4 linked regions of the Nothobranchius furzeri genome follow. The protein of the gene in region 1 interacts with the protein of each later gene in a biochemical or structural test. Links are inferred from orthologs where the notes say so. Each region holds a gene or a part of one and is shown on either strand. Other genes may lie near its edges.

Region 1 (5,873 bases):
CTATTTTATTGAGCTTAAATTTTTGTTTGACTACAGATTTAATTTGGTGATATTCTAAAAAGCTATTCTTATCCATTCCAAATTGGGAGACTATTTGATTAAATGGAATGAAGTCCAATCCTTCATATATGTGTTCCAGGTATAGGATTCCTTTATTTTTCCAGTCCGGAAGGTTCATCATTTTGTTGTTTTGCAAAATATCAGGATTATTCCAGATAGGTGTGCGTCTGCATGGTACTAGTGAAGACTCTGTCATTTTAAGATACTCCCACCATGCCGTCAGAGAAGTGCTGATATTAATACTTTTGAAGTTTTCATGTTTTCTTATGCTTGAGCTAATAAATGGTAAGTCTGAAAGCTCTTTCGTATTGCAAAGTGTATGTTCTATATCTAACCAGGACTCATCTAGTGGGTTATCTTGCAACCATCTTGGTATATATTGCAGCCTGTTGGCTAAGAAATAATAATAAAAGTTGGGTAAATCCAGTCCTCCTCTGTCTTTGGTCTTCTGAAGCGTTTTTAAGCTAATTCGTGGAGGTTTATCCTGCCAAAGGAATTTAGTAATTGAGGAGTCCAGAGATTTAAACCAGACAGCTGGAGGTTTGTTTGGGATCATCGAGAATAAGTAATTTATTCTGGGTAAGACCATCATTTTAAATGTAGCAACTCTCCCCTGAAGATTTTTTTCTGAAACCTGATGCTTTTTTTCCCTATGGTCTGAAGTCTGACACCTGAGACCTGAGGGTGCCCTAAAATGTACGCAGAACCACAGCTGCTCTGAGGCACACCAACAGAGGTGAGGCTGCAAAGCTCTGGCGCCACCAGTCCCTCGGATCACCACCAGCAGGCAAGGTGGGTCTTGCACAAGGACACAACAGCAGCATTCTCTGGCTGAGATTGAACCTGCAACCTTCCATTTCCGGGACAACCCGCTCTACCTCCAGGTGAACTGCCAGTACTCTAGACTTTTAATGCTACATGTTTTACATCCTAACAATAAAAACATATTGTTCATACGATGTTTCTATTTTTGTACAATATAACGTCACCAGCTGCCCAGGGCTTAGACCAGAAGTTAGTTTCTGTTTTTCCCGCGCCGGTCACAAACATCAGATTTTCTTACAATTCCAGTCGTCAAAATCCAAAAACCTTTTTCATCTGAGGTTTTAATACACATTTACACATGCTCTTCAAACGAATTTTGCCTCTGGCCGATATCTTTAAATGAGTGATTGAACCCACTACCAAGGATGAACTCTGCTAACTTTAAAAATCTGCTGCTCTAAATAAGCATGAAAGTCAGAGAGGAGCTCTAGGATGGACATGGATAAAGGAACTGTAATGTAGAGGTAAAGTAGGGCAGGGCCAACGTTAGCAGCTGTCATACGGTCCATCTGAAATGTTTGACTTTCATTTAGCTTGTTATGTGACAGGTTAGAGCACAGTCTCATGTTAGAGTTTTGTCATGAGAACATTGAGATACCTCACATGCTGATGGCATGTAGAAATAAACTTTTTTTTTTTCAAAATAAAGAATAATTTTAATCACAATTGAAACGTACAATCCTAGAAAAACCTCGTCCAATCAATGTGCACGTCCTGTTCTCACTGACTGGATAGAAATCCTTCCATCAAACTGTGTGTGTGTCCGCGTGTGTGCGTGACACGAGTGTGTTGTGAACTGGTGTTGTGGTTTTGCACTGATGTAACCATCCTTACGCTGACAAAAATGTAACTAAGTAACTTTTACTTTGAGAACATTTTATTTACGATTCTTTTTACTTTTACTTGAGTAAAAATTCAGGCAAGTACTTTTACTTGTACTTGAGTAAAAAATGATCAAAGTACTGGTACTCATACTTAAGTAGGAAATTTTAGTACTCTTTCCACCTCTGAATATAAATGTCACATTCTTTCTAATATCTGTATTGTAAAAACTTGATAATAAATTCTATAAACGTGAAAAGTATATGGTACAAACTTGATAATATATAGTACATACGTGATGGGACAAACATGAAAATTGTCACCAGACGGGCACCGCACTTTCCCACTCCCAACCAGAAGCTGGCAGTATAACATCAATCCGCATTCAAAATCTGAGAGGTAGAAGACTGCATCACTGACGCGTGCGTCAGAGCGTGATATCCCTCCGCGTAGAGAAGCGCGCGGTCCTTTCCCTCGCGATGCGGTGAAACTCTGAGACCTTCCTGCGCGCGACACTGCCGTTAACATTTCCCGCTCCATCCGTGAGAAACCATTGAGCGAGCACCAGGGGAATATCCACATCTTCTAGCATACACCGAACCCGCCCTGTAGCTCGTACTCACTGAGCTCCGTGGAGGCAATCCAACCCGCTGAGGGCGCCGAACCTGTTCGAGTGAAGCAAGCGGCAGCCGGGACACGGAATGGAGCTCATCACTATTCTGGAAAAGACAGTCTCTCCAGGTGAGTACTGGGGGTGTATGCGCACCTCAGCCAGGGTGTGATGGTGAATTTTCAGAGTAGTTGTGTTGAGTTGCAATGAGAAGCGTGAGAAAAGTTTACGGCAGGGCGGAGGAAGAAGCTAACCGAGCTAACGCTCGGGCCTGACACGGACAGTGACTTCGCACTCTGCCGGTAGTTTTATTGCAGTTTAGGGTAAAAGTAGTCATCATGCCTACTCTGACCGTTTCCATACGTTTTGTCTTAACAAGTCGTTAAAATTGGGCCCCGTGGCGGCTGATAGGGTCGCTACAGGAAGCTGAACCGAAGACCGACCCTGCCCAGGTCTGGTGGAGCCGCTCCATTAGCTTGTTAGTGGGTGTCATTCTAAGTCTCGACCATTTCCTTTACGGTTCAGATTAGCAACTAATAGAAGTGGTCGTTTGGTTGTGGTCTTCGATTAGTGTCTTTATCTACAGTTATTACTGTTTTCAGGCAGTTAGCGCCACTTGGTGTTCCAGAAACGTGTTCCACAGTGGGGCTAATGTTAGCTGCTAACGCGCATGTGCCAGCCTCGGCAGGGCGGTTAGCAGCGTGCAAATGTGACTGCGTGGAATCAATGTCACTCATTTAGGTAGCTATTAACGATGTTTGGAGTGGATCGGACATTAAACCGGGTCAGGGCTCATTGTGTGCCCGCCTACTGGAGTAACACTTCTTTCTCTTCTCAGATCGGAATGAACTGGAGGCGGCGCAGAAGTTTCTGGAGCAGGCGGCGATAGAGAACCTGGTTAGTAGTAGACCCCTAACGGAGGAGGCAGAGGCCGGCAGGGCTGCTGCTGCAGGCCAGAGGAGAGGGGCTTCGGACAGCTGCAGAGTCGCTGGCTTCTCCTCCCTTCTTTTCCCAACACAAAATAAACACACACACACAGGGACGAACACACTCGGCCTGTAAGCGCCACCCTCCAAATCAACTAAACCCAAGATAAACGGAAGTACATTCACCTCGTTAACCAGCTGACTACAGCTGAGTTATTTTTCTATGTGTCAGTTTAAGGTCCCTTTTTAAAGATTTTAATTTCTAACTGGGTTCTTGCTGAAATCAGGTTCTTGACCTTACTCCAGATCCAAATTGTTCAGTAATCATGCAGGATTAGTGATGGTAACTGACTTGGAAAGATGAATTATTTTCTGCCAAGAGTCCCGTTGCTGTGAACGTTTTACAGTAAATTTCAGCACTTGAGGAAATAAATACAGAACAATTTCTCTGTTGGTGTTTGTAGGCTTTGCTGCAGCAGACCCAATATTTCTGAACATTTACTTGTATTTATGTGTTTCCCTGCATTTTTAAAAAGCTGGTGGTAACAACTCACTGCAGTGCATTCACTAAGCACCATCAGGTGGGGGAGAGACTGAGCTTGTCCTTCTGCTGCTTTAACATCCCGTCAGTAAAATAAATTATAAGAGTAGCTTTTAGGATCAGTTTTGAAAGCCTCATGAGCCCTTGTTGCAGAAGGCAGGACATTGACGACTACCTTGGATTCACACTCACTTCGCACCGCTGGCACAAACAACGTTTTTAGCAGTTTTCCTTTTTTTATTTGAGATCTGATTTCAGCCTTTCCATATGTGTCAATAAAACATGTTTTTTACTTTAGAAACTTGAGCGTTGTTTTGCTGTGTCACATCTTTAGGGCTTACTGTCCACACTGGTTCCCAAAGGGCTCAGGAACGAATGAGGTAAAATAAAAGAAGTCAAATTAAACAGAGGGGATGAAAAGAAGTGAATGGCATCATTGTTATTTGCATTGTCTTGCTTTTGAAGTTTCTGTTTTAACGTGGATGGTATCTCAGCCAGAGGTTTAGGGGTTAGTATTTGAATTATTTAGGAAACACTGGATTAACAGTGTTTCAAGGTCTCTGACTTGACTTGAGGTAGGATGATCTATAGAAACAATCCTGAAGGTGAAATGATGTAGTGAAAACAGTTTGTTCGGTGAAGTTTGTTAGGTGTTTATAGATGGAGAGGATGAAAGTTTACATGACAACCAGGAGCCTTTTGTTCAAAGAAGCTCAGAGCTGTGACTTTATTGCTGCCTTTGTTTCTGCTTTTCAGTTGGACCTCACTTTATGTATAAAGTTGTTTTTTACAGGAGGCGATTTGTATATTTGTTATTGACGAATATTTTATACGCTATGCACGGAGAACATCGCAGAGGTAACAATTAAGAACAGGTCTCCATCAGTGCATCTGAGCCTTTTCTCACCCCCTCCGCCTCTGGTTGCTGACGTTGCACGCGCAAGCACCACGCTGAGGAGGGGTTTGGAGAGCGTCTGTGATGCACTCGACATCGTGCACTACAGCGCGGCGTTGAGTGTAAAGTGGAAACCCTTCTGTCTTTCAGACTCTGGAAGACTTCTGGTTATTTCATTTGGAGAATGTTTCCTGATTTAAAACTCTGGCTGAAGTAGCGCTCACCCTTATTCAGCACTTGCTTTGAGTGTGTCAGCAGAGCACGGATCCATCCAGAACATTATTTAAACAGCCATGAGTCTGTCTGAGGCAAAAGTCTAGAAGCTCATAACCTCTTCAGCAAGCTCCCTAGAGACATTTGATTACACACAAGCTGCAGGTGACCAGTTCAGGTCTACGCGGAGCAGAAGGAACCTCCTCCTTGAACCGTCACCTTATCGTGGTGGAGGAGTTTGAGTGCCCTAATGATCCTAGGAGCTAGGTTGTCTTGGGCACTTTGTGCCCCTGGTAGGGTCTCCCATGACAAATTGGTCTTAGGTGAAGGGTGAAAGAACGGTTCAGAGGATCTTTCATGGATGTACAATCAAAGAGTTGGAGTACCCGGCCCCGGGGGTTACCAGGGTCCCACCCTGGAGCCAGGCTTGGGGTTGGGGCTCGTGGGCGAGCACCTGGTGGGCGGGCTTTTGCCCATGGGGCCCGGCCTGAACCGGATACATGGGCTCATCCAACTGTGGACCCACCACCCGCAGGAGGAACATGAAGGGTCCGGTGCAGTGTGGACTGGGTGGCAGACCGAGGCGGGAGCCTTGGCAGTCCGATTCCCGGACAAGGAAACTGGTTTATGGGACATGGAACGTCACCTCACTGGTTGGGAAGGAGCAGGAGCTTGTGGCAGAGGTTGAGCGGTACCGGCTAGATATAGTCGGACTCACCTCAACACATAGCATTGGCTCTGGAACCCAAGTCCTTGAGAGGGGTTGGGCACTCTCCTTTGCTGGAGTTGCTCCGGGTGAGAGGCGGAGGGCTGGGGTTGGCTTTTTGTTTGCCCCAAGACTCTCTGCCAGTGTGTTGGGGTTTACCCTGGGGGACGAGAGGGTAGCTTCCCTGTCTTCGGGTCGGGGAACGGGTCCTGACTGTTGTTTGTGCTTATGGACCAAACATCAGTTCAGAGTACCCACCCTTTTTGGAGTCCCTG
Region 2 (5,755 bases), on another chromosome or scaffold:
TACAAAGTTAATATCAAAAGAATATTGTAATAAAAGTATATATTTTTTATTATTTTTAGTCATGTTCTTGAAAATATGTTTTTCTGCCATGAAATTACATTAATTAATTAGGAACAGCTGAACTAAAATCCTGAACTTCATGGTAGCAAAACACCCTACCAGTAAACCCATGAAGAGTTTGTTGCTGGGGACCTGTCAATACACTACAGTGTATATTGCAGATGTATAATCATGTATGGATAATTAATAATTATCCCTACCACCCATCAAGCAACACTCAAGTTTATCAATATTGTCGCGGACAACTTTAAAATCTAACTTGCTTGTGGATTTTGGTGATGGGACCCAAAATTCCTGGAGGCACCCCTGCACCCACCCACTATAAATCTGCACCTATGGCAGCTGGAGAAAATTGTTACGCTACCATTGATTTTAATTTGGTATTCTCTCATCAGTAAAACATGGACAAAATACCGGTCTCGTAAAAAAAACAGTCTGCTCAGGCCAAGACGAGACAGAGCGAAAATGCCTTCGATACCAAGATGACACCAATAACATAAAAATAAGGCTTCAAGACTGATCTCGACGACTACAACACTAACTCCTCTGTCACATTCACCCACGTACATACACATGTAGCTGCTGCAAAGTAATGAGTAAAGCAACCAGCAGCGAGAGCTGGTGTCTGTTCTTTGCTGTTTTTTGAGCACCTTTTAAAACCACTTGATTATAAAATATGCTGATGACGCTGTAATTGTGGGTCTGCTCAGAAATGCAAGCAGACACGGTCCAGCCATTTAGTCTTTTAAGACACACATCTGCAACCTGAAAAACAAAGGACACGATTTCAGAAAAGCCATCAGTACTCCATCAACCAGAACAAAAGGACAAACCATTGATCAGGTGCCAACTTACCAATTTATTGGGAAAACGATGGGTTCAAATTTAACTTTTGAAAAAGGGTGAGTTTGTGTGCAGGAAGAGGCAGCAGCTATACTGTTTGTGGAATTTAGCTCGTTTTCAAATTGATGAAATAAAAAAAAAGATTACAATATTTTAGGGGTTTTATTGAATCTTTACAGTATGCTCTAATGGGAAACAGGCTTCAACACAAATGGTTGTTTTCCGCTTGGTCCTAGAGCTCAACCAGTGTCAATTTAATACAGCGTAATATTGTTTTTGGAAGGTAAAAAGTGCAGGGGTCAAAACTTGACTTTGGAAAAAGTAGGGGGGACATGTCTCCCTGTCCCCCCCCCACTCCCCCCGCCAAAATTACCTCCATGTGTTTGATGCCTTTCTAATTTCTGACAATTAATTGTTTTTTTGTGTGTTTGTGGAAGCGTTGTTTCCAGCTGTTCTCTCTCCTTGACCAGGGCAGCTGTAAAATATATTTTAAAAGTCTGCAATCCAATCACAGTTGTCCTTTTCCACAACCTGAGTGCCAGGGCGATGTGGCCTAAAATCAATATCACGATACTTCGAGGATTTTACCTCGATACCGATAAATGGACGATAATTACAGGTATGTACAGAAACAAAAGTTGTCCACTAGATGGGGCTTTCACTTGTATGACGTTGAGTCAAATTTTTACGTGACTCAAAGGGACATGAATGTTGCCAACTTACACACATCTTTTCATTTTTTTACTATCAAATTTTTAACATGGGAAAAATGATCTCGATAAGAGTCAGAATTTTTGATAATGATACATTTTCGATTTGTTGCCCAGCACTACTCATGCATAATGTAACAAACTGATTGCTGAACCCTTTTCTTTTGGATTTCCTAATAAGAGAGAAGTATCCACTGTCATGTAGAACGTAGAAGGGTGCACACTTTCCAAAAAGCTACCAAACGACTTTTTATTGTAATAAAGATTTATTAGGCACCATGGCATCAATTTCCAGTTCATCTGCTTGCTTTGATCTCAGGTGTTGGAAACCAGGACAGCCGATGTAACTCCTCCCCCCACTCTGCGATCTCCTCCTCCTCTCCGGAGCCAGCCCAGCCGCAGCAGCACAGGAGCTGCCGTGCCTCGTCTTTCACGGAGGAGATACAGACAGCCGGAGTAAAATCCAAACCCCGTACAGCCATGGCAGACAACGCCGGCTTGGAAAACCACCGCATCAAGAGCTTTAAAAATAAGGGACGTGATGTCGAGGTGAGCTCTTTTTGAGGATATGCGTTTAAATGTCTTTAATCTTAATATTTTAATGTAGATGGGAAAAGCCGACTACCGTCAGGCCTTGCTTGGTAGCCTGGCCCCGGCTGAAACTTCCCAGCCTGCCTGTTAGCTAAGCTACCACAGGGTGGTCGCCATCAAAGATTTCATTACATGAAAATTAAACTCTTAAAGACGACAGCTGTGATGGACTTCAGCGTGGATAAGTCATAAACCTCAGCAACCACTGTGACTGAAAGCTGGATCATAGTTGGGCTTTTAGAACTATGAGAATTAGGGCAGGCGATGTAGCTGTCAGTGCCGGTGTTTTAACGAAAAAGGTACCCCTGCCATTAAAAGCACACTAGTCGGAAATGCGTTATAAATTAAACCATGGTTTGTTTTACTTAACTAAATTAACCACGTTTTCTCCACATATAAGTCAAGTATCGTTTATTCTGTAAAGCTATGCAGTTAATTAGATTGTAATGATGTATTCGCAGTAGTTATGTTGAGGTAGGCTGCTAGGATGCAGTTTTTTTTTTACCCTGGAAGTCTTCGAAATCATGCATCATAATGTACATTGTTTTTTTCCCCCTATAATGTACGTTTAAAAAAATCTTGGCCATAAATAGACGTTACCCAGTGACTAAAGCAACTTATCTCGTTTCTGAACGTTAAGAATATTACAAATTTAGGTCTAAATGTAACGATAATTTAAGTAATCCTAACAAGCTGTCCTTAAATACGCTTCCCATGATGGGTTTCTTTGGCGACTGGTGTACTTTTTTCGACACGACACTAGCTAACTTTAGCTAGCTAGTTTGATGGACACCGGTCTCAAGCGAGGCGGGGCCTACCCGGCTTCAAAATCGCGATATTTCCAATCTTTTTATGCCACCCCACTGTAAACAAAAATGCTAACCAAAGAACGTCACATATAATCAATATTATATGGACAAGTGTGATTTGGGTGGATCGGTGACGGGTGCTCGTTTACCCTAGCCACCCCTCCTCGTTAGCATGCAAACGCGAGCCTGCCAACCGAGCAGCTAGTGTTGTGTCTATCTGTTTTTCTTTAAATATTTGTATTTTCAGTCACCATTAAATTAGGTGACTTTCCTCACAAAAGCAAAGGATAACAAGCTAGCCATTCTGTTAACTATAACCTGTAGTAAAAGGTTATGTCGAATCACAAATGCCCTAACTCAGCATTTCTGTAAAAATTTAAATGTAGTTTACCGTTTTATTGTAAGTCACATTCTAGAAAACACTAGATTTATTTTGTGTACCTACTAGCATATCTAAAATGCTGCATCTTTCACTGAATTTGTCTAAATTGCTCATTGACACTGTAGCCAAAGCAGTTGGTAAAGGATTTGTTTCAAGTTTAAACAAACAAAAAATAGCAAATCTATCATTTCTGGGTTAAAAAATGTTCAAATCAAATGACTAATCTACTCTGGACTTGTTCAAATTATCTGTGAAATGTAAACAATTTTCTTTTAGGGCATTTCTCTCAGCCACAGGGGGGATTACTAACAAAAACATACTTGTTTTAGTGTTGTTCTAATTTATCGGTAATCCCAAGATAATCCACAAACAAAGGTATGTCTGAGAATGCCCTTTCCAAATTCACCAGACGGGAGTTTCACCATCAGAGTGGTGCCTGTATTGGTTGTTTTGAAACTGGAAGTGTGTGTTCGACAAGCACATGGCTACTGGGATCGAGCCTCTGCCAAAGTGCATTCCTGATGCTATTTCAGGCATCTTGGAAGTCTGACCCAGTCCTTCTCAGAACCTCGGCATGAAATTGGGTTTTTGAAAGTGGGTGACTCAGACTACAGCAAATTTGTTTTAGGTCAGCTGCAAAAGAGTGCATTTCATTTTTAACACCTATTGAACTGAATGAGGTCCCACACCCAGACTTAGTATCTTAGTTTTGAATATTGAAAAAGTATTCCATTAATTAGAGTTTTGAAATCTTTTGCTCGACAGATGAAATGTGAGCATTGCTGAAATCATGTGATAATTCACATCTGTATTTAAGAAGCAGTTTAGTTCGGATCAGTACCCCTGGCATTATCATTGTTTTGCAGTGGTCTGGAGCCGCTTCTCTGTTATGACAGCCCAAAGTTACGTAAGAGGCTATTTAGGATGGCAACATGAACCTCTTTAACAGTCACAAGATCTTAGACCATCTCAAAATGCTCTGGATGAGCGAGAAACCCAACAGATGCACTTATACAGCAAAACTATTAAACAGTTTCTCATCACCTGGACTAAAATGAGTTGATTTTCACCTCAAACACAAAGATACGGTCATTTATTGTAACATGTTACATTTTTATCTCTTGTTGTTTTGTAAGACTTCCATCACACTTAAATGCCAGTGTGAAACTATATAATCTTGTTCACATTCTTTGTATTTTCTCCCGTTTCAGACTATGAGAAGACATCGAAACGAAGTGACAGTTGAGTTGAGAAAGGTGAGAAAAGATTCACACGACAGTATTCAGGAACACACAAGCAAATGCACGCACATAATCTGTCCGCGTAAGGCCGATCTGTTTCTGACTCTGGAACAGCAAAGAACGCACATCAGTTTTAAACTTCTGACAACATATAAACAACGTCAAATAGATGATAGCGTTAGTTATTGGATATTGACCGATTTGAGTTTTTCTGTTGCCGATATCTGGAGGTCCTGGACAGCCGATGGCCGCTAAGTGCTGTCGATTTTCACAGTTTAAGTTCTAAATGTTTTCCACCTTATCTGCATGATTAAGTGTCACCAATAACAGTGGCTGCACAACATTTCTGAAACCCTGAATGTAATCAACTGTTTAATCTATAATTAAAATGGTAATAAAGCTTTTATTAAGTAGATGTTTTTCAGGAACTTAAATATATATTTAAAAATAATTCTGCTGCACATGGATGTGCCTTTAAATTGGTTCTACTAAAAAGGCATATTGGTCGACGCTGACCTCAGAACCTCAGAAGTCAGATCTCAGACCTGGAAATGACGTCACACCCAAGTAAACCACGTTCTAGTCACCGTTTTCGGAGAAGCGGGGATCCCATCATGGCGACGCCCTCAAACGGCTCTTTTGTTAGCTCATAATAAACATCACTTGTTTACTTTTTAATGTAACATTGATTTTAAATGCACTCTTATGAATGTGTCTTGTAAAATAAACACAATGCAACTAAAACTTGATGATCCAGGAAGAGGAGCAGGGCCTGATGCCATTTTGGATGGCAGCTCTCTGGATCAACGTCCAGTGCAGAGAGGCATTTTCCATAGAGGCTGAATTCATTCCGAGTTGCCATTTAGTCGTGAATCTTCTGTCTTCAGCCTCAGATTATTTAATCCAGATTACTTTGGGAAACTAAGCATTTAACTCTGTGATTTATGTAATTCCACAGCTTCAATTTGCTAGTTCAGTTTTTAGATTGAAAATGAGATGGTTCATTATTACTCTTTATTTTGTTAAATTTGCTAGCACACAGTGATGTCAAACATTTTACAACTAGTAATAATAGAGAATTTCATTTATTGGTTCTTTTCAAGACACTAGAGCATTTTA
Region 3 (5,723 bases), on another chromosome or scaffold:
CATATTAAAATCGTATGCAGATAAAACGCCTACAAAAATCTCAACAAGATTATATACCTTTCTGAGTTCCACCACTACTTCAGTCCTCTGTCTTCTCATGGTCTGCAGGAACACGACATAAAACGTGTTAAAACATGAATTTAAGCTAAAGCAACATTTTATATGCGTGTAAACATCATTTTCCCATTCAGAGGTCACCAATTGACCAACTCAAATCCTCATCCAGTTTCTTAACCGAACCGACCAATAATTTATAAATTTTAAAGGGTAAATATTTACCTTCAGTGGGGAAAATAATATTCCAAAACAGTAATGATCAAGTCACCTAAAAGCTTAATCATCTGAAAATGAGTCAAAAGTTGCTGTGACTGAAGATTTTGACATTTATTCACTAAATTAACTAAAAGGTGTACAAAGTCTTCAATTCGCAGATTTAGCTTTATTAATTGTTTTCGGTTTAGCTGTGTGTTCGTAAAGCGCGACACAATCACGAGGCACGATTAGTGCTGCCACGATTAGTCGATTCATCACGACGACGCTGACAAACAAGATAGTCAACTAGAAATTTAATAGTCGACATCATTTATTGTATGAGCATTTATTAAATCACGCTTTCTGTGGCACCTTCAGTGGCTGCTTTCTGCTCGAGGCACAAGCGCAGTCGTGGCCGTCCAGATCAGCCTTTGAATCAAGAATAACCGGCGAAAGATGACATCATGGCGAGTCCACAGCATAGCTCAGAAGGTGCAGAGCGTTTTACAACGACAAATAAACGAGAAGCATGCACAGTGCAAAATCTGCAAAGTGAAACTCTACATTCATGGGCGCACATCTGCGATGGACGAGCACGTCATGGCAGAGCGCAAAGAGTCGCCTCTGTAAGCTAATAACCTCTTGTTAGCTGCTAACATCAACAGAGAGTTACTTGTATGTATTTACTTGTAGGTGTAGCAACAACAGTAGTGGTGGTGACTTTACCTTTAGTACACGTTTGTATGCCACATTTTCCCTCTAATGTTACAAACGCTAATGATTTATTTTATCCTGCTACGTTAGTTATATAAAAGCACTCCTCCTCTTCAATGCACGAGTCTGGTACAAACCCAAAAATGACTTTTAGCTGGATACATTTGTGAGCACAAGTCATTTTTGTGTACACTTTATTTCTGGTTTAAGGTTACTACGTCCATTCGACTACAGCATTTGTATTAACAGGTTACAAAGTAGATTAAAGGTTGTTTGATAAGCTAAGCTATCATATTGTCTATAATATTAGAAGCTTGATAAAAAAGATCTTAAATTGGTCCAAAAATACATTTTGGATCCAACTTAAAACTGAAACAGAGAAAATTTGTATTAAACACTTTTAAGAATCACCACAATGTTTCCATGCTAATTATAAAAATGTGCTAATTTAAAATAAATTATTACATGCAGCATTGTACCAAACTTGGACCGCTATGATGTAGCTTCTCCACACAAATGTGGAGTAGGAAGTGGGATACAATCCACATTTTCTTGTTTTCTTGTCTAATGACAAACAATCACCTATGCCATTAAATATGACAGGTTGAATTGGGGATGGACCAAAAAAAATGGAGCTGTAATTTACCTTTCACTATACTAAAGCTGATTTGAAGTCAAGCACATCAGTGGGCAGCCCGATTCCACTACACAATTTTATGTTTACCCTCCTTAAAGAGCAAGTCACCCCCTACCAGATTCTTACTCAACTCCCACTTCCTGTTTGAAAAATGCAACAAATGCTGTTGCCTAGCAGACCGAGAGGGTTGAGCCGCTAACAAATACACACACTCACGGCATTGTGACATTATAATGTACCATCTAACATCATAGTGTACCTCTTAGCCAATAGCGACGGCAGATTTAAATTCAAATGCAGTGCTGAGTTTTTACCTGACGACGGTGCAACACTGACAGTTTTAGGCAGAATATTTAAATTTTAACTAAGATGCACTAAAGTGCCGAATTATTGACTACACGTGTCTGCAGCACGATTAGGCACTCATTTATATAGTTTATCAGGAGAAAAAAATGTTGATTTGGAGTGACTTGCTCTTTAATAGCATCTGATTAATAAATTCTCGAAAACATTGTCAACTGACATTTATTCTTATTTACCTGGTTTGCATATTTAATACTTAGTCAGGTTTTTGTTTTCTTTTTGATAAACGTTGGTTAAAAGATTGATTTTAATACCACGCAGAGCGTAAAATTATGATTCATGATGTCAAATTCTGTGTCAACTGATTAGGTTCATGAATGTTGTGCATCCCGTTATTAGTGACATTTTAGCAAAGAGTTATGGTGGAAAAAGTCTAGATATCGGCCATTGGCTGACCATGACCCCTACCAGTGGGCATTGGTATCTGCAATAGAAAAAACCCATATCAGTCGATCTGTAGCTTGAATTAACTTGAATGGTGTCAGATGTTATCGTGCAGAGTTGATGATGATTGCATCAAGACTATTTTATTTCAGGATCTCGAAGATTCAGTGGTTTATGTTGCCTAAATGCCACTTTTTAATCTTCCTGGTTATTTGCAAACGAATCTAAACACTTGATGCAATGTGAGTGAGCAACGTATTTAGTCACGTGATCAAACGATTAAATACACGTTATTTCAGTATGGTAATGAAATAAGTCTGAAGTTTCTGCTCACTGAGGAGTCTGGGTGTGTCCACCTCCTCCGAACCTCTTCCATACTTGTAGCTAAAGTTATTGACAAATCGATGAGCGATACGACTCTTGAGGCCTGCTTCTTCAGAGAAAGTAACGACTTGTCAAGCAGGATGTACGGGCACATCCCGCCTATAAACACCCGTAAGGTAAAATCCCGCCCGAGACCTTATTTCGCTACCATACGCTCACATGAGACAATGAGACACGCCGGGCTGACAGTAACTCACCTAGTATTGATCTGACGTTTGCTAACGTGTAGCTTGATCTACCATGTCACGAGGTCGACCAGGTGTTTATAGATTTCTAAATATTCGTTGGTGATAAACAAAACAATGGAACACACACGCATGACGTTAAGATCCAGGTAACTGGTCAGCTAAACGGCTAACTGGTTTCCGCCATTGTTTTTGGTTGTAGAGACGGGGGATGGGTGGAAATGCAACCAGCGCGAGCTCAGCTAGCACGCAAGTTAGCTTACTGCGGTATTAAACTACATTAATCCGCCGCTAGGCTGGCGTGTTTATCGATATTATATCTCAAAAGGAGACAACCTGGGTCAATTAGGTGTACTTTTACTGATATATGTGACATATTACACCGAACTAAACCGACTCGGGGGTGAAATGCTTCAGTTGAGCTCGCATGTCCCCCCGCGGCCCTGGCACATCCAGCGGAGGCTTTTCTGACATGTTTCTTAAGCAATGCGGTCTAACGGTGTAACAAAACGATAGAAACCGAACAAGAAGCCACTCTGCCAAAAGCCAACGGTGCTTAACGGTCGATTCGTGAAGGCCTTGGCCGGGCTCTGGCAGCAGAGATCCCGATGGTGGAAATTAGAAACGACGTCACAGCGCAGCCGAGAGGCAAGGCTGGCCGTGAACGCAGCAGCTAGCAGCGGCGAGCCTAAACACCTTATCCGCACAACTTTTACCTCCAAATCTCGACCCTTGTTCTTGAAATTCTTCAGCCGCTGGTTGTCCAGTTTCTCGTTGTCAGCCATGTTTGCTGTTCTGGTCACGTTAAATACACAGTTCGACTCGTGAATTTAGCGGGCGAGCTACCCTCTTTTTTTCTTGTTCCCGTTTCACGGCGTTTCGTTAGCGGACTACTTTTCGCTGCTCTGTCCGCGGTGCATACTGGGAATGCCGGTGGTGGAGGGGGGGGCGCCTCGCTGTGTCGTAGAGGAAGGGTGGGGAAATCCCCTCCACTCCGCTCTCATTGGTTTCACTGCCAACGTCCGTGGCGGTGGGAGCACCGCATCACATGTAGGCAAAACGCATGAAGTTTACTGGAAGAAAAAGGTCACATCTGGTCAATTATCACTGCACCATAATATAGATTTGTTATGGAAACAAAATACTTTAGTGTTTTACACTAGCGGAGTAATATAGCAGGTTTGACTTTACAGAAGGTGTTATTTGTCTTCCATGCAAATGAAAAACGTCATAAGACAGAGAACCCTCCCTCTCCTTATTTTACCCTTTGTGTTGCTCAAATTCAACAATAACATGATGTGATCAATAATAAAAAGACAAAATAACAAACAGGAAATGCGGAAAAATGTTTAATTAAGTTTTATTAAACAATTATGAGTGAAATTTCCTCTGTATATAAATGATATCTGTCAATATATAAGAGTGCAATGGTATTTAGAAATTTGATTTACTTCAGAATTCATTTGCATTTAAAGATGTGGGGCACACGCTTCATCAATACATTTGCTGTGGCTTCATTCTAGTAATTAATTAGTGAATGAAAGTCGTACTTGGTTATTAAAAAGCACAGACCCAGTTTCAGGAAGTAAAACATTTCCTGATATTTGGACATCTCGCCTCTGATTGGCTAACAGCAACACGACTCTACCACCAACTTCATTTGCTTTGCAACCATGATGTTTTTTTCCACATATAACACAAGCGTGGAGGTGCTCTGCTGTGTGGTGGAGTTGCTAATGCTAATGTTAGCTTCTGCTAGTCGGGACGTTCTCTGCTGTTTCCTGGACGTTAAACCAACAACAGCCTTCCCCATTGTGAGCCAAGATGGGTGAGTCCATGACTGTTAAGTGACAGTGTGACGTAGATCTGTCAGGCTTTTCTAATCCCACAGTTAGACCGTCTGTTTTCTATCAGAAGCTAATGCATCATTATCATTTTTGCAGGTTTAAAAAAATCACAAACACACTGAATATGATCAAATACATGAACTTCCTTTATTGTAAGATGACATTTGCTCAAAATAAACTTGATTTTCAAATAATATAAAACACAAGAAAATGATTTATAGTGATAAAATATATCTAAACCTTATTTGCTAATTTATTCATATACATTTGTAGTTTCAGAGAACTGTCTCAAGGCCCCTCATGACGGCTTTCTCAAATCCACCCCAATAATCCCAGATTTTTCACAAACCCCTCACAGTTTTTTTCCTCCCGCCTCTTCACCCCGCAGCAGTTTCACCACACGGATTAACTCTAATCTCTGCGTTAGCATCATCCTTTGACCTCGCAGTTGGTTTCAGTTGGATGAAAGACGACAGGAATCAAACATCAAAAGTAATCGTCCTGTAATCAGCTGCCACAGAATCGCTTCACTGCTGCGAAACCGAAGCCTTTAGATCTCATCTGAACCTTAATGTCGTCCTGAGTCTGTCTGAAAGGGGTCTTCATCAGATAAACCGTCCTCATGAAACCTTCTTCCAGTCCCGTCCCAGTGTTGGCTGAGGAGGGCTGGACGAACCACGCCCGGCCCGCCACACCCACCCCTCAAGTCCAGTTTCACAGACAGTGATTGGGGGCTCAGAGCATCTGGTAGAGCCTGTTTGTTGGCCAGAACCACAAGAGGAACTCCTCTGAGACTGTCCTGCCTCAGGACCTGAGAGGTAGAGGAGATCCGTTTTTGTTACAGTTAAAAACTTTTCACATGAAACCTTCATTGTATAACAAAACAGTTTCTTTCGTAGCTACCCTGTGCAGTTCTTTGCGAGCCTCGTCCAGCCGTCTCTCGTTCTGGCTGTCCAC
Region 4 (5,418 bases), on another chromosome or scaffold:
AGAAAAACACTTAGAGAAAAATTAAAGTTAATAGCTGAAATTGCAGAAAATAATACAGTTAAAGAGCAGATTGTAGAAGAAAGTAGTAGAGTGTGAAAAGTGGTCAGTGTATCCTCCACCAGTCTAAGCCTATAGCAGCATAACTACAGAGATAACTCAGGATAACCTAGCCTTTTTAGATGGAGGCATGTTGGAGGCAGGGCAAGGGAGAGCCGTCTTTACCGACTGTACACTCCACCTACCTCTACTCCCCCACTTGTCCAGATGTAGGCTAACATCAGATTTTAACCATAGGCCCTATCAAATAAAAATGTTTTAAGCCTAGTCTTAAAAGTAGACAAGGTGTCTGCCTCACGGACTAAAGCTGGGAGCTGGTTCCACAGGAGAGGAGCCTGATAACTAAAAGATCTGCCTCCTATCCTAATTTTAGATATTCTGGGAACCACCAGTAAAGAAGGCACCTCCCGTGTATTCTTGCTTAGCTAGCTAAACAGCTAACAAACGAAGAACAGACACCTCGGTAGCACATGATGATTGGAACACGCCTTGGCGGTACCTGATTACGTATCTCCTAGGCAACCGGGGCAGGACCAAGACATCAAGAAACACCGAAGAGTTTGAGATAAAACTGGGTGTTAATTGGCAAGTATCTAGCAATATAATATGTTGCTATACAGGAGAGACGATACGATATATTGAGATACTAAAAGGCTGACTATTTTTGCAATTTTTAAGTGAATTTAACTGGGAAAACTCAGACAATTCCAGTGTTTTCGCAAGATATCGGTCTGTCAGACTGAAGGAGGAAGAAACTGCTGCCACCTAGCTGTCAGTGTTTGATCTGCACCACACAAAAGAAATACAAGAAATGTTGGCATGTAAATTCTCAATAATAGATACTCTGCTTTTAAATATCGATTCTGTATCATAAACCGAAATGTTGTGATATTTCAGTGCATTGAATTATTTTTACATCCCTAGAGTGTTATATGAATACATCTCACCAAAATCCAGAAACTGCTTCATTGAAAGAGGGGAAGGAGAAAATCTGGAGTAATAATCGATATCCTTCCCTACTGACACGCTGTTCCTCAGAAACCTCAGAAGCCTCATGTTGACCGGGTTTACTAGTTATTCGGAGGAAGCAGGTGGCTTCCGAGCCACACTTAGTGTTATTTAACGACACTAGCTCGTTGAGCAAACCCAGCAGCTCGCAAACACGCTGTTAAATTTATTATTGTTCAGTTACGTTGCTAATTGATGCAGGTTCAGCATCCATAACTACGGCCGCGCTGCAATGTTTGTGTATCGTCCGGTGTGTACTTCAAGTGATCGCTGCTAAATCCACCGAAGCAGAAAAGTCAACAAGCTAATTCAAAGAGTTACTACAAAGTTCAAGAGGATTCATCGTTGTTGCCTGGCGTATACCGACACGAAGTTCTGTTGAAAGGCTGTATTTAAAATTATTGTCAATATTGACGGTAAATTGCGAAAATAAAGACGTATAAATGCACGATAATGTCCTAAATAATGTCTTTTATTCACGTGTGTATGAAAGAAGAAGAGTTGATAGTGCTCGTTATTCTGTAACTATCTTGCCTTTGCATACTCTTTGTAAAGGCCAAACTATATATTTTTCCGAATGTTTGTCTATCAGGCAGTCAAATGAGCCTATCATGTACCTCAAATCTAATCATAACTCTGATTGGATAAAACAGTTGCCAAATAAATTAATAGGCGGAATTATGTCCCTGCAGACAAAATTCAGGGCATACGAGAATGCCGCGTCTCGGGTGTCGTCACTTCCTTTAGGTGGCCAGATAATTGCCTGTTAAAGGAAATGTCGGTTCACAGGCCCACGTTTTTAGCAATGTGTTATTGATTTTGGCTCTATATTCCTCGGAAGGTAACGTTGATTAGCGTGTGATTTCATTCATTTCCTGCGTATCTGTGCAAAGTTACTTAAATAGACGCAGTGGGGATTTTAGGAACTTCAGTCGGAGGAGTTGGTCATAGCGACCCGCCAAAAGCCACAAGATTCGGCAAGGAAGTGGCCGTTTTAAACGACACGTAACGGCTGTGTTTAACTTCTTGTGAGGATAATGAGTGGCGGATTCAACTTCGGACAGAATGCAGGGTTCGCCTTTGGAGCGCAGAAGACCACTGCCGCTGCCCCCAACGCGGGTTTTACATTAACCAGCTCAGCAGCTCCGGGAGGGGGGTTCGCCTTTGGAAATGCCAACCAGACCAACCCCACCGCCTCTTTCAGCTTTGGCACCCCAGCCAAGAGTTCCGCAGGCGGCACGGGGTTGTCTTTTAGCACGCCTACTGCCTCGTTTGCTCTTGCTACCCCTCAGACAACACCGGCAGCAACAGGGTTGAGTCTGGGCTCTGCAGCAACTCCGGCTGCCGGGTCAGGGTTCACCTTAGGCAGCCTGCTAACCTCGCAGCCCCCAGCTGCTGCACCAGCAGTAGCAACAGTGGCACCAAGCGGGGGAGGATTCACCTTCGGTGCTCCCACACAAGTCCAGCCTCAGTCAGTGGTAGCACCCACAGCCACGACAGCAGCAAGTGGCATGTCCATTGGAGGGTTCAGTTTTGGTGCTCCCAAAGTCCAGGTGACCTCAGCTGCAGCCCCCACTGCTGCCACAGGAGCGGGATTCAGCTTTGGAACCCCTGCAACCACCGCCTCTGCAGCTCCAACCACCCAGGGTGGAGGTTTTAACTTTGGGATTAAACCTTCATCAACCCCAGCCCCTACAGCAACCACCCAGGTGGCTCCGACTCCAGGCCCTACTCTGTTTGCGACACCCATAACCACCACCGCCGCCACTACAGCAGCAGCTCCAGGATTCATGTTTGGTGCAGCTCCAATTTCGGCTCCACTTTCATCGGTGAGCACTGCAACCACCACAGCAGCTGGAGGGGGCTTATCCTTCCCACTCAAACCTCTGAGTTCAGCAACCACCACCTCTGCTCCGGCCTCCATCCTAACTGCAGCCGCCACCACAGGCACAGCTACGGGCTTCATACTGGGACTCAAAACTACATCCACCACAAGCACAACCACAACAGCCACAACAATCGGCACCACCACCACCACTGCTCCTCCTGTGATGACCTATGCCCAGCTGGAGAGCCTCATAAACAAGTGGAGTCTTGAGCTGGAGGACCAAGAAAGACATTTCTTACAGCAAGCGACTCAGGTGAATGCCTGGGACCGCATGCTGGTGGAGAACGGAGAGAAGATCACATCCCTGCACAAGGAGCTGGAGAAGGTGAAGCTGGACCAGAGGAGGCTGAACCAGGAGCTGGACTTCATCCTGTCCCAGCAGAAGGAGCTGGAGGACCTGCTGTGTCCGCTGGAGGAGTCCGTGAAGGAGCAGAGCGGAACCATCTACATGCAGAATGCCGATGAGGAGCGTGAGAGAACATACAAGCTCGCTGAGAACGTAGACGCACAGCTGAAGAGGATGTCTCAGGACCTGAAGGAGATAATTGAGCACCTGAACACATCCAGCGGCCCAGCTGACTCCAGTGACCCAGTAAGATCAGATCTAAGTCATCCTTAAACCTGTCATTATGATGTTTGCCTTTTTCATTCATCTCTTTCTCTCTGTTTTAGCTCCAGCAGATTTGTAAAATTCTCAACGCCCACATGGATTCGCTGCAGTGGATCGACCAGAACTCGGTTCTCCTGCAGAGAAGAGTGGAAGAAGTGTCTAAACTCTGCGACACCCAACGCAAGGAGCAGGAGAAGAGCTTTCGTTTAACCTTTGACTGATCTGTTGATGAGTTTAACTCTGCATAAACATTATGCTCTTTTGTTTGGATTTACTCATTTCACTTTCTGTTTTGGTTTTATTAAGATAAATATTTTCTCAATAGTTCTTTATAAAGTTAATTGATCATATTAAATGTTCTGGGTAGTGTGATTAAATAAAACAATTGCAGTGGATCTCATTCAGCCTGATGTGGTGTGTCATGACTCTAATTCTCACATCTAATCTGAAACATGAAAGATCTACCAGACTTTTTGAGTTGAAATAATCTAAATTACTTAATCATTTTAGAGCTTTAACTGTAATTTGTCTCAGTAATGATCTACAAGCTGCTTAATTCTACCTGAGCCCTAGATTAGATGTAAAAACACAAGGAGGCGGGTGCAAGAAATGATAAATGACCCGCACTTGTATAGCACCTCTCAGAGTAAGGACTCCAAAGCACTTTACACTACAGTGTATCATTCATCCATTCACACACTGATGGTGATGAGCTACGATGTAGCCACAGCTGCCCTGGGGCGCACTGACAAGCAGAAGCATTGGTTTTCTTAACAGCTCCAGATAAGGTAGTAGAACATGTTGGCCAACCTCACAGGTATGTTGCAAAACACTTTGAGATTTTCATTCTAATACAATGTTAAAAAATACAATTCACCATTTCTACAGTAAAAAATTCCCAGGAAATTAAACAGCCATGTCACAAATATAAAAATGGACTACAGTTTGTCCTAATTTGCAGAATCTGCTAAAAATAAGAGCTTCATTGTCATCCGCTGCTTCCCACCCAAAGCATCGAGATTGATTGTTCCATCATAGGCTGGTAATGTCTGCAGAATCCACGAATGGGGAAACATGAAAACAGTTATCCGTGCTCTGTAAACAATAAAAAATGTTAAGTCTTGCAGGGAATTTACACTTGTTATGCTTTTTTTATTTTTTAGCATCAGAACAAACAAAAGCATCTGAAGAGTTTGAAATGCATTAAAATCAGACAGTTTCTGTACAAAGACTTCATCACTAAACTGTTTCAATGGAATTAAAAATTGTCTTTCGTCATACAATATCAGGGGCGGTTCTAGACCAAGTTTTCCAGGGGGGCCACAGTGGGGCCAGTATTTTTTCATGGGGGCGCAAGAAAAAAAAGGGAAAAATTAGGGCAATATCAAAATTCTTTTTTGTCTCTGCCATATGACTAATTTTGTGCTTGTGCACAATTTTACCAAAGGAAATTCCTAGTACTGTGAAACTACTCACTTTTTTGTTCTCTTCTTTTTAATTTCTATCTTTACTATATTTTGGGGATCAAATTTATCAAAAATTTTCCTTTACTGTTTTCATCTATGATCTTTTACAGCTGTATTTTATTAAAATAAGATTCAAATAAATTCATAATAAAAGGCAATGAACAAGTAATCTATTACAGCGAATGCAGTAATGGTTTACTTGTGAAAGTAAAACTGGCATGTCTTTATGGTACTCAGATAACAATTCTGAATGCTTCACCGCAACATGAGACTTGAGTAAAAAAATAATTCTAGTTGATTGTTATAGTTTGTGACTTTATTTGAAGATTACATGTACTGTACATATGAAAAACAAACATTCAAACAAATTAAATATGTGCACAATACAA

The links.
Region 2: the proteins of kpnb1 (region 1) and kpna3 form a complex in vitro, tested with the Homo sapiens proteins (2 studies listed by BioGRID and IntAct, with this or other methods). The link is inferred for Nothobranchius furzeri from reciprocal best matches to the Homo sapiens genes KPNB1 and KPNA3.
Region 3: the proteins of kpnb1 (region 1) and kpna4 form a complex in vitro, tested with the Homo sapiens proteins (2 studies listed by BioGRID and IntAct, with this or other methods). The link is inferred for Nothobranchius furzeri from reciprocal best matches to the Homo sapiens genes KPNB1 and KPNA4.
Region 4: the proteins of kpnb1 (region 1) and nup62l form a complex in vitro, tested with the Homo sapiens proteins (2 studies listed by BioGRID). The link is inferred for Nothobranchius furzeri from reciprocal best matches to the Homo sapiens genes KPNB1 and NUP62.

The regions. Positions count from the first base shown.
Region 1 is NC_091745.1:29,752,547-29,758,419, reverse strand, and holds the start of kpnb1 (importin subunit beta-1), read left to right. Parts: upstream 1-2,197; 5' UTR 2,198-2,408; coding exon 2,409-2,448; intron 2,449-3,155; coding exon 3,156-3,214; intron 3,215-5,873.
Region 2 is NC_091754.1:26,746,730-26,752,484, reverse strand, and holds the start of kpna3 (importin subunit alpha-4), read left to right. Parts: upstream 1-1,961; 5' UTR 1,962-2,093; coding exon 2,094-2,162; intron 2,163-4,606; coding exon 4,607-4,651; intron 4,652-5,755. UniProt on the Homo sapiens protein: Functions in nuclear protein import as an adapter protein for nuclear receptor KPNB1. Binds specifically and directly to substrates containing either a simple or bipartite NLS motif.
Region 3 is NC_091753.1:52,638,199-52,643,921, forward strand, and holds the start of kpna4 (importin subunit alpha-3), read right to left. Parts: upstream 3,845-5,723; 5' UTR 3,705-3,844; coding exon 3,636-3,704; intron 103-3,635; coding exon 58-102; intron 1-57. UniProt on the Homo sapiens protein: Functions in nuclear protein import as an adapter protein for nuclear receptor KPNB1. Binds specifically and directly to substrates containing either a simple or bipartite NLS motif.
Region 4 is NC_091754.1:20,875,695-20,881,112, reverse strand, and holds nup62l (nucleoporin 62 like), read left to right. Parts: upstream 1-1,911; 5' UTR 1,912-2,102; coding exon 2,103-3,545; intron 3,546-3,625; coding exon 3,626-3,784; 3' UTR 3,785-3,963; downstream 3,964-5,418. Other genes in the region: pdk1 (pyruvate dehydrogenase (acetyl-transferring) kinase isozyme 1, mitochondrial), read right to left, coding at 1,005-1,113. UniProt on the Homo sapiens protein: Essential component of the nuclear pore complex. The N-terminal is probably involved in nucleocytoplasmic transport.